Lonchura striata: one gene and its partners. The main gene of each other region encodes a partner of the protein of the gene in region 3 in a complex. Links are inferred from orthologs where the notes say so. Each region holds a gene or a part of one and is shown on either strand. Other genes may lie near its edges. The genes, in order: TMEM17, TMEM237 and TMEM67.

The links.
Region 1: TMEM67 (region 3) and TMEM17 share a complex: the UniProt entries of both Homo sapiens proteins name them as parts of the tectonic-like complex. The link is inferred for Lonchura striata from reciprocal best matches to the Homo sapiens genes TMEM67 and TMEM17.
Region 2: TMEM67 (region 3) and TMEM237 share a complex: the UniProt entries of both Homo sapiens proteins name them as parts of the tectonic-like complex. The link is inferred for Lonchura striata from reciprocal best matches to the Homo sapiens genes TMEM67 and TMEM237.

The regions. Positions count from the first base shown.
Region 1 is NC_134620.1:1,594,432-1,598,179, forward strand, and holds TMEM17 (transmembrane protein 17), read left to right. Parts: upstream 1-1,484; coding exon 1,485-1,602; intron 1,603-1,840; coding exon 1,841-2,016; intron 2,017-2,398; coding exon 2,399-2,512; intron 2,513-2,889; coding exon 2,890-3,171; 3' UTR 3,172-3,240; downstream 3,241-3,748. UniProt on the Homo sapiens protein: Transmembrane component of the tectonic-like complex, a complex localized at the transition zone of primary cilia and acting as a barrier that prevents diffusion of transmembrane proteins between the cilia and plasma membranes.
Region 2 is NC_134610.1:27,005,042-27,008,789, forward strand, and holds the start of TMEM237 (transmembrane protein 237), read left to right. Parts: upstream 1-1,387; 5' UTR 1,388-1,399; coding exon 1,400-1,429; intron 1,430-3,748. UniProt on the Homo sapiens protein: Component of the transition zone in primary cilia. Required for ciliogenesis.
Region 3 is NC_134603.1:24,492,091-24,495,838, reverse strand, and holds the start of TMEM67 (meckelin), read left to right. Parts: upstream 1-970; 5' UTR 971-1,069; intron 1,070-2,974; 5' UTR 2,975-3,006; coding exon 3,007-3,063; intron 3,064-3,748. UniProt on the Homo sapiens protein: Required for ciliary structure and function. Part of the tectonic-like complex which is required for tissue-specific ciliogenesis and may regulate ciliary membrane composition.

The DNA of each region.
Region 1 (3,748 bases), on a different chromosome or scaffold from region 3:
AATTCTTCTCTGTGAGGGTGGGCAGGCCCAGGCACAGGGTACCCAGAGCAGCTATGGCTGCTCCTGGCTCCCTGAACATGTCCAAGGCCAGGATGGATGAGGCTTGGAGCACCCTGGGATAGTGGAAGATGTCTGTGCCCATGGCAGGGGGTGGGATGAGATGAGCTTTCAGGTCTCTTCCAACCCAAACCATTCTGTGGTCCTGTAACTTCAGCCAATCAGGTGCTGGTTTAACCATGCTTTCAGCCCCAGATGGTTTGGTTTTGACAGCATATGGCAGTGAGCTCTGCAATTTCATTTTAGCTTTATTCAGGAAAAGAATAATCTCTTTCTTTGGTTTCTTGTGTTCCTTGACAGTTTCTGGCCCTTAAGGACCTCACTTACAGCACTTGCTTTCACTATTTGCAGCTTCTCTGATGCACCTTATGGGGTGAGCTGAAGATCATGAGGTCTGTTGGGTAGACCTAGATCTGTTGGGTAGAACTGACAGAGTGTGTCCAGAGAAGGCAACAGTGCTGGTGAAGGGGCTGGAGCCCCAGGAACAGCTGAAGGAGCTGGGAAGGGGCTCAGCCTGGAGAAAAGGAGGCTCAGGGGGGACCTTGTGGCTCTGCACAGCTCCTGACAGGAGGGGACAGCCGGGGAGTTGGGCTCTGCTCCCAGGGAATGGGGACAGATGGAGAGGGAACAGCTCAGGCTGGGCCAGGGGAGGCTCAGTTTGGATATTAGGGAATATTTCTTCATGGAAAGGTTTGTCCAGCTCTTATACAGGCTTCCCAGGGCAGTGATGGAGCCCTCATCCCTGGAAGTGTTCAAAAAATGTGTAGATGTAACATGGTTTAGGGGTGGCTTTGGCAGTGCTGTGTTAATGATTTGACCTGATGATCTTTGAGGGGTTTTCCCACCTTAATAATTATGTGATTTTCAACTTGAAGTTCCTGAAGAACCTTTCACTCCCAGTCATCTCTGGCTCAGCCACCCGCTAACACATCATCCCCCACTGCCCTCCCCAGCACCCCTGAGCCTGGGTGGGGCTTGAGGAACTCACAGTGATGGGTAAATGCTCCATGAACCTGGAGGCCTTGAAGAAGCATTTCAGGTGAAGAGTACCATCCTCTCATGAGGCATCCTCATCTGTCAGGGGTCTTTGAGCAATATTTGTATTGATAGAGCCTGGCTGAGAGAGGGTGCAGTTGCTTCAAGTCACAGTGACGGGTACAAGCTGCTGTCACCCCCTAAAGATGCTGTTGACAGGAGATGCTCTGTGACTTGTGACTTCCTTGCAACTCCACCATGTGATTCCTGCATGGGCTTGGTGTTCCAAGGTGGGAATTCTCCTTCCTCAGATCCCCGTTCCAGGTCAGCAGCCCTGTCCCCAGGGAGCCAATGGCCATATGGCCCTGCGCATTAGCCTGGCCTGCCACCTCACTGATTCCCTCCTGGCTAATCTGGGCTGAGCCGGGCTGGTGTGAGCAGGATTGCTGTCCATGGCTGTACCCACCCCACTGCCCCCCAGCCTGCGCCGAGGCTTGGTGGCCTTCAGTGGCTCCCTCTTCATCAACAACAAGACGTGGGACAGCAGCACTGCCCACGGCTACCAGCCAGGTATGCGCAGAGGGCTCTGCACAGGGGGGCTTGGGAACAGGGGGTGTCCATCCCCATGACCCTGCACAGGGGGGCTTGGGAACAGGGGGTGTCCATCCCCATGACCCTACTCAGCACATCACCAAAGCACCCAAAGAGTCCCCGAAACCACCCAACAGGGAGGGGAGCAAAATCAAGAACATTTGCTGCAATCAGCTGCTTGTGGGACCCAGGGTCTGTTGCTCACCTCCACTGTGAGGGGGGGGTCCCTCTGGGCAGGGGGACCCCGGGGCTGGTGAGCAGCCTGCCTATTCCTGCCTGTCCTGCCTAGCTCAAAAGGTGCTGTCCAGCCTGCCCCTCCAGGTGATGCTCTACTTCAACGTCTACTACTTCCCAGTCTGGTGCCTGGCTGAGGGAATTATGCTGCACCTGAAGGTACCATCCCATGGGGCACGTGGGGATGGGAGGAGCTGCTCCTGCCAAGTCTCCCTGGGCTTGGGTGGGGGACAAAATGGGCAGCGGACAGAGGAACCTTTTCAGAATTACTGGAGTCCCAAAATGCCCTGACCCCCATGAGAAAAGATTGTTCATTTCTGTCTGCTAGAGATGGAAATCATTAACTTTCCAGGCAAGAATGGTTAAAACAGGGGGGAAGAGTAGGCAGAGCTGTGCACCAGCATGGTGAGATCTGGCAGAGCATGGAAAGCTGGGTATGGGGAGGAGGGCACAAGGCATGGAGAGCAGGGAATGGTGCATAGAAGAAAGGGAAACTGGGCATGGACAGCTAGACTTGAACAAGGCTGTGCTCCCATAACAGTACCACCTGCTGCCTTGGCACTATCAGTTCCTGCTGGTCACAGCCTTCCTTATCCTCTCGCTGGCTGAGGGCTCCCGCCTCTACTTGGGCTACCTGGGGAACCTCCAGGAGAAGGTAAGCACTGCCTGCCCTGGCCTCTGTGCTCAGAGAGGATCAGCCCAGCTGGGGGAGCTGGATTTCTCCTCACTTATGAGCCATGTGTCCATCACTGTCCTTTCTCTGGAGGTCTACCTGGAACTGTCCTAGAAGAGAATCATGGGTGAAGGCATGACCTGGAGAGAGGAATGAAAGGGACCCATTTGCCCTCCTGCTGTGTCTCTCCACTGGGGGGGTTTGACAGCATCTCACCACAACTCAATGGAGCAGGGACATCCCTAGTCCCTGGGCACCAAGGCCAGCAGAGGCTGATGCAGGAAGCTCCAGGAGCACAGAGGGTCCCCCCAGCCCACCACTGCCTTCTTGCCCTGTCTCAGCAGCCTCTGGTCTTGCAGGTGCCTGAGCTGGCTGGGTTCCTGCTCCTCTCCTTCCTGATCCAGCTGCCCCTCCTGCTCTTCCTGCTGATGGACAGGCAGGTCATCCACCTACCGCTGGAGGTGCCCATGCACAGCTTGTTCCTGACCTTCCTCCTCCCCGAGATCGTGGCTGCCTTCCTGGCACTGAGGACCATGACCAAGCATCTGGCGGCACAGTTCTACCTGCGGCAGTTCCAGGAGGGTGCGAGGGGCCAGCTGGAGCCAGAGGGCACAGGGGGACAGGCAGCCAAGATGGGATGATGCTGCATGACCCCTCCACCCCACACAGCTGATCCTGGCAAGGAGCATTAAACAGTGCTTGAACCCACAGACATTGTTTCTGAGCTTTGTGGAGACTCCAGAACAGCACCCAGGCACAGCCCAGCTGATCCCAGCCTTGCACCAGCTAACACAGCCTAGGAAAAGTGGAAGTGAGCGGTTAGCACCTCTAAAACATTCCAGCTCACCCCACAGCTGTGCCTGTCCTTGCTCAGCATCAGCCCTGGCAGGAGGCAGGAATCAGGGTGCAGGAGCCACTGCATACCCCTAGGAAGTACCAGCCCAGGGCTGGAACTTTAAACTTGGCTCCTAAACCCTCCTTGAGTTTCCCAGAGAGCTTCTGAGAATCCAGGTGGTTCACACAAAGCCATCCCAGCTGGAAGCATGCAGGGTGCCACGAGGTGCAAGAGCAGCACTCCACAACCTTATAGTTCCTCCATGGCTAGAGACAGAGCAAAACCTCCTCCCACTTCCAGAACAGCTTTATTCCATTGCATCCCTGTTTTTCAAGGGAAATCAAAGCCCGTGATTACTGGAACATGGAGAAATGCAAAATGCT
Region 2 (3,748 bases), on a different chromosome or scaffold from region 3:
CTGCTGTCTGCAGTACATCGTGCACAGGATGAGCCCCAGTGGGTCCCTGCAGTATGGATATGCTCAGACAATCAGCCCTAATTCTAAACAGCAGGCAGCTTCAGAAAGATTACAGCTTATGTTTTACTTCAAGAATAATCCTAATGTCAGGATTGCAAGAATTTATCTTTGTATGTGAGGGATTTGGAAGAGGATTAGGAAAGAAGCTCCAACAGGAGATATAATCATACTATATTCTGTGTAGCTCTTGAGCATTTTATGTTACTTTTGTACAAAAAGAAGGGAAATACTGTGAGTACTCAATTACAAGAATAAAGAAAAATCTATTTTGTTGCATGTATTTGTGTTATTTACTTACACATAAATTCAGAAACTTCCTTTTTATTATGCTTGTTCTGGGTTCTATGATGCCTTTATATTCTGCAGGTCTTACAAATTATATTAAGTAAGAATGTGCTTTTTTTGCATGGTGTATGTCAGCATTATTATTTATGAAGGTATTGTTTTGTTGCTAATCCTTTTTACCTTTAAAATAGGAGCAGTGTTGGCATAACAATAATTACTACAAAACCCAGTTAACTTCATAATACTGTAAATATATCTTTTCTGCTCTTCCATCAACGCAAGTGAGTACAAACTGACAGAATGTGGACTTACCAAAGAGGAAAATAATCACAAAACCTTTCTCTTGTTGGTTTGGTCTGTGGTAGCATGGTCTCCTCAGCAAAGGGTTCAGTGCTTGTGGAAACTAAGTTACTCACTCTCTCCACCTCATATTTGTAGCTGTCTTGCCACCTGAGGTACACAGGTGGTTATTTTATTGGCCTACCTCATCTTGGAGGAAAATCAACAAAAGTGAGTTAAGCAGTCTAGAAAGAGGTTATTTAAAGGCAAGTATTACAGCCAACAGGATGCCTGTTTGTTCTAGAGCCAGGGCTTGTATTCCCTGTTTAGAGGTAAAATGGGAGAGAGAGAAGCCCCAATATGTCATTGATGTGGGTATGTACTGGTGAAGGGTGAGATAGCAGCCTGGTCCATGAGCAGCTTCCCCACGTCTGCCTAGTCCCAGCATCTTTGCCTTTTCTCCATGTATTATTTCTTACTTTGGTTTTGTTTTCTTCGATTACTTCATTTATCAGTTTAAGACCCTGGCTACAAACTGAACTAGTCCAGAACTCTTTTCTCCTTGCTTTTGCTTGTCTGCAGCCCGAGAGACGACGACTCCCGCTCGGGGCCCCGGAGCTGAGCTCGCTCCGATGGGCCAGCCGCCGGCAACACGGCGCAGCCAAGGAAAACGGGAAGCCGGACCTCCCAGCGCTGGGGGGCGGTGCAACCGCGGCGCAGGGCGGAAGGAGCAGCGGCTCCTCCCCGCAGAGCCGGAGCTGGGCGGGCGTGGTCCATGGCGGCGCGGCGGGCGGGCCCCGGCGTGGTGAGGGGGCGGTGGGGCCGGAGCGGGAGTGGGGCGCGAACGGCTCCGTGGGGCTGCAGGGCGGGGAGCCCGGCGGCGGGAGTTTGGCCCACCTGAGCGCTGTTGCTGAAGGGATGTGGCGGGCCGCTCCCCAAGCAGCAGCTGCTCAGGGGAGGCGGAGCTGAAGCGCAACGCGGTAGCAGAGCGCCCTGGTAGCAGAGCGCCCTGGTAGCAGAGCGCCCTGGTAGCAGAGCGCCCTGGTAGCAGAGCGCCCTGGTAGCAGAGCGCCCTGGTAGCAGAGCGCCCTGGTAGCGAGGCTCCTGCGTCCCCGCTCCGCTGCGGAGGCGGCGGTGCCCGCCCGGCTGCATCCCGCGGGAAGGGGGGAATGTAACCGGCCGCATGGTCGCACATTTCTGAAGATCTTTGTAACGGAAGCAAGCAAACATTTCCTTCATGTACTTTTTGATATAAACCTCTCAAAAGAAAATCTGCAAGGCTTTAACAAATCTGTGAAGGCTGCTTCAGTATTTTTAAACATTCTGGACATTTAAACCTTTCCTTCTCAGCGTCCTGGAATGGGCATCCGGGGATTTGGATAGTTCGTTTTCCCCCTGAGTGTCCAGGTGCGTCCCACTGTCTTGTGGCCTGGCTCAGGTGTGCAAACACAGGGTTTGACCGAGGCAGCGGCTGCCTTGTTTGTGGGAGTCTCTTGGTTTCGGGGGCATTATTTCGGAGGCATTTTAAAGCACGCAGCGGTTCTTCTGTCCATAACAAAATGTCCATGGGGACCTGTCCCCAGACTCACCCTTTCTATGAAATTTGGGGTAAGTTACTTCAGACTCTGTGAAATTGCAATTAGACAAAAGCTGATAGCTCTATGGCAAAGCTAGGAACTGTCACACAGATGGGCAGATGAGTATTTACAACTGGCTGCTTGCATGTGCTTTCCTGTGTTGCAAGGAATAAATTATACAGAAATCAATGCACTTGCCAGTTGTTCTGTAGAAGGTAATAAAATAAAAAGGTACTACTGAGTATAGAATTACTACTGCATAGGCAGTGAATGCTGTGTCTTGTTTGTTTTTATGGAGTTTTTTAGCATTTAGTTTTTTTAAATACTAAGTATTGTAAACATTTACTGCCACAAGAATGTTGGAAATAATAAAAGTAATGAGATCTGACCTTTACCAATATTTTTTTCCCTTATGGTGCACCAGTATAGCGTGACCAGTCCCCACCAGTTTGCTGGAAGCCCCTTAGGGTGTGCAGTTCTCTACCTGTGTAGCAAGTGGCACTTGCTGTCAATCTTCAGCATGGCCAAAATCCAAGTAAGAGATTTGAAGTCTAATCCCACAAACCCTTCCTTGCATGAGGTATCTCATTTCCTTTGGGTAAACAAACCAATGTAAAACTTGTTTATAAGAACCTGTGCCAGCACGCAGAATGAAGAGTTTTTTAGTGCAAGTAATATTTGCTGTCATAGAACAACCTGCCCTTGTTTCAAATGGGAGTAGTTCTGGGTCCTGACCCAGGGGTAGGAGGGTTCAGGTCCAGCTAATCCTGGCTGCCTGAAGTTTATTTTTAGTTCAGAATTAGCTGCGGTTCAATGTGAGGGAGCTGAGCAGTGTGAGGGAGCCTAGACCAGTTCACAGTGCCTCTTTCAGGGAAGGACTTCAAATGATATGGGAAAGAAACAAGTGGTAAGTTTGTGGCTCCTTGAGTCTTACCAGTCTTCCAACCTTTTTTAGTTCTGGTATTTGAATTTTCTGGGCATGGAAAATACTTTTTTGTGTATGTTCTTTCAATATAATTGTGTAATACAAAATCTGAAAGTTAACTCCTTTTTCTAGGGAAGAGAAAGGTACAAGCTCAGTTTCAAATTATTATTTGGAGATCCTTTTAGATTTTAGGTGTTTGACCTGCTGGTAAATATGTTCAAAATTATATGGAAAAATGATATTTTGTAATATTTAAAAGCATTTTAATAAGTGAGCTTATTTCCTTTTATTGTTTTTATTATTGTTCTGAATTTACCTCATTAATAGAAAATACTCATCTCAGGTTGTATACTGTACAATTACTGAATGCACAATTCATTACAATATTTTATATTTATTTGAATAGAATAACTAATAAGCTTTATAGTGAAGGTGGTACCTTACATGAAAAAGTAGAAATTATTGAAGCTAAAATGTAAGCTGTGTCTCACACAGAGGGTAGCTGTATGTTCCTACTGCAGTGCCCATCAGAACTCTGATAAAGGCATATTAGTTCAGCATCTTTTACATCCTACTTTTATGTAACATCTCCATTAGGAATGTTTGGCCATTCAGGAGGCAT
Region 3 (3,748 bases):
CACACCACTAAGAAGTTATGTCTTTACACAATCAAATTTACATGAACGTGAGCCTAGGGACAGGTAATTTGATTTGAAAACATAAACTCAACCTTTTAATAGTTGTTGAGCCAAGAAAATAAATCCAGTGAGAAACAAAACATGCTAATGTTGAAAATCATAAGGCGACTAGCACGCAGGAGAGGCACAATGAGAAATAACTAAAATCCAGGACACAGTGTGTTGCAAAGTTTTGGTAACAACTGAGGGAATGAGACAAAAGGCAACAGGCAGAAACCTGCAGAGAAAGCTCCACCTGAGCGTGAAGAACTTCACTGCGCGGGTGCACTGGAACAGACTGCTCAGAGAGGCTGTGGAGTCTCCCTCACTGGCGATACTCAGGAGCTCTGGTCACAGAGCTGTGCCATGTGCTCTGGGATGATCCTGCTTGAGCAGGCAGGTTGGACCAAGCCCCCCGCTATGGTCCTTTCCAACTGGACTCATTCTGTGCTTCTGTGGGACGTGAACAAGAGTGTCACAAAGGTATAACAGTAACACTGGCTGAGCATCCACTGCTCTCGGCATTTTGTATTTTCACCTTGTTACCCTCTCTGGGGAGAAGTTACAAGCACCTGTTCCATTTGGATGATGCACTGTGCATCAGTTCAGGAAACGAGGTACCGGAAAGTGCAAACCGGGCCGGGGTGTCCTCTCGTTTCTGGCTCCTGGTCCCGCACAAGACGCACAAAACTCTCCGCGAGCCAAACGCATCAACTCCGGCCGCCGCGCCCTCCTTCGCCGCGCCCCGCGGACGCTTCGCTTGTTGCGGCGGCGGGCCCCCGGCGCTCGCCGTACCGCGCGGCTCTGGCCAATGGGCGCGCGCGGGCGGCGCGCGCGGTGGCCATGGCGACGCGGGGCCGCGGGGCCGCCGCCGCCGCGCTGCTGCTGGCGCTGGCCGCGGCGCCGCGCCCCGCCCGCGCCTTCTCCGTCCCGCTCCAGCGCCCCGCCGACTGCGGCGCCGACCGCTACTTCGACAGCTCCCGCCTGGCCTGCGCGCCCTGCGGGGCCCACCAGCGGCAGAGCGCCGGCGGTGAGCGGTGGGGGAGGCGGGCTCGGGCGGCTCCGGCTGAACCCGTCCCCAGCAGCGGGAGGTGCTCAGCCGGGCTCCGGCCCTGGCGCTGGAACGCGCCCGAGGGCGGCTCTGAGACAGCCGCGATGTGTCCGAGATACAGCTCAGAGAAATTACTTTCAACCTTTTTCTAATAACCTTTCTTTTCCTCGAGCGTTATATTGTATTTGCATTTTCATCTGTGAAATTCTACAGGACCCTGAATTTATGTTCTCGAGCACTTCTGTACCTTGAAACTCCTTGTCAGACTTGAATGTCCGAGATACCAAGTGTCTGAGATCCTCAGGCTGTGCCTGTTCTAGTCCAAGTCCCACACGGGAACTTGGAGCACATACAGCACAGCCTGACAGTACTAAATGGAAAATACAGGTAGTTGGCTGCTTTCTTTTGGCCATAAAGAGGTGTTAAGGGGTTAATCTTTCATAAAATACACAGTCCAACAAGAGTAGGAGTTCCCTGTGTACAAATTTGAGACTAAGACCTGACAACATCTCTGTCCAGAGCTGGTTGTTTGGGTGGAAGTAGTGATGGGCAGGGCTGTGTTCACAGCTGCTGCCTGAAAACTGCTCACCTTCACCACCACCATGAACCCCATATTTCACTTCCTGGAAGAAAATACAGTATTTTCAGATGCCCTGATAACGAGGGTGCCTAGATCCTTAACTCCTTTTTAGGCTGAATCTTCCTCTAAATAAAGGGCTTCAAGGAGAGGAAAATTCCAAGGAGAGGTCAAGGGTTAATTTTTTCCTGTAGATGTAACTGGAGCAGTGTAGGTAGGTGCTGCTCAGTGCTGTTTGCATCTTTACTGAATTCCACTTGAGATTGCCCAATTCCACTGGCTAGCCCAAGTGGAATTGGGCCATCTTGGCTAGCTCATCAGTCTGGATTCTGGTGTTAGGTCACATGCCTAAAAATCTAGGTATTGTCACTGTGAGTGTCACAACTCAAACTTTTCATTTATCTAATCCAATTGGGCTTTTTCTTCTTTAGAATTAAGTAGAAATGTTTGATCACTTTAACAAATGTTTCTGTACAGCTGGTCTCATTAGAATGTACTTTAAAGTGATAAACTTCCCACAGAATTTGACATTATTTTTGCCTGCACAGTTCAGTAAGCTTCAACAATAGAAAAAGTTCATTAGTACATATAATCAATTTTGTTTTCTGCTATGTGTTTAAAAATACAGAGGGAAATTCATTACACTGAGAGAGGGAAAGTTTCTAAAAAAACTGTTTAGCACTAGTAGATGGGCATTATACTGTTCCATTAAAATAGTGTTTAATTTCATACAAAATATTAAGTATTTTTTGTTCACTCACTGGAAACCATTCAATATAAACCTTGATCCCCATGCACAATTTTAAAAGTCTTGGGTTTAAAACAGTTTTTCATGCAACAGTTGTATTTTGAAAAACCTTTTCACAGGAACACATTTTGGTTTTAGGGCTGACTTCAAATTGAAAAAGTAAAACCTACATAAAAACACGTAATGTGTTTTATGTTGTAGAGGGAAAGGTTGTGGCAAGATTTAATGGAGAGATTATATCTATTACAGACCAACTGGTAAAATTTGGTTTAATTAAAAAAAAAAAAACAAACCACAAAATACAAGCTCTGGGTCCCTGTTCCACCCTGGTAGATCAGAGGCCGTGTAACATTCTCCTAAAACATCTATGTGCAAACTGTAACATCGGCGTTTTTTAAAAAGCAGGATGATTTTCATTCACATCTCACTCAAGTGTTTTATGTCTCTAATAATCCATCTTGATCTCTTGAGAACAATAGTATTTATTCTTAGTATTCTGTTGCAACCTGTCAGTTCTATATAGCTTAAAAGTGCATTTGTTGTTTTTTTTTTCCTTCAGGTAGTTCCTGTGAATGTGAACCAGGATACAGGATGGTTTCTAGTAATGATGGGTTCTCTGTTACTTGTGAAAAATGCCCAGAAAATATGGTAAGTATTGAATGTTTCATGTTTGCCATAATGATAGAATACAAATCATAATCATTATGGGATATTAAATTTTATCCTGACTGCAAGTTATTTTTCATTAATTTAAAATATTTTTGCATAATAGTCTTTCATTGGGAATTTTTAAGAACATGCTAATATGTAGTATTTTTTTTCAATTTAGAGTTGTCTATTTCTATTATTTTGTAGGCTTTTTTCATTACAAATTTGGCCCCACAGACAAAATAATAATTTTTTAAGCATTTAAGTTCTTTCCACTGCTTTTCTTCTCTGCTTTGTCCTTGTCTAGAGAGCACAACTCTATACCTTGTTAAAGATGCTTTTCAGCTCATAGGTATCTTAACTGATTATTTATGTAAATACTATTACTGTAATATTTAGGCTGTATCTTCATAATCCAGAATATTTCATCTTCTTACTTCAAAATGAGCTGTTCCTACTATGTTACTTTAATTAAAATTATAGTTTGATCAGTTCTTCTGACATTCCTTGACAAATTAAGTTATAATTTTTTGTCATAATCTCAGCACTGATCCCGAAACAGCAGGCTAAACCAGATTTTCCCCACTATAGTAAGCAAAGAAATGTATTTTTCCATCAAATCAACATTTGAAGCATTCCTGAATACTTCTTTCTCTTCAATAGCTATAGAAGAACTCCCAGGAGA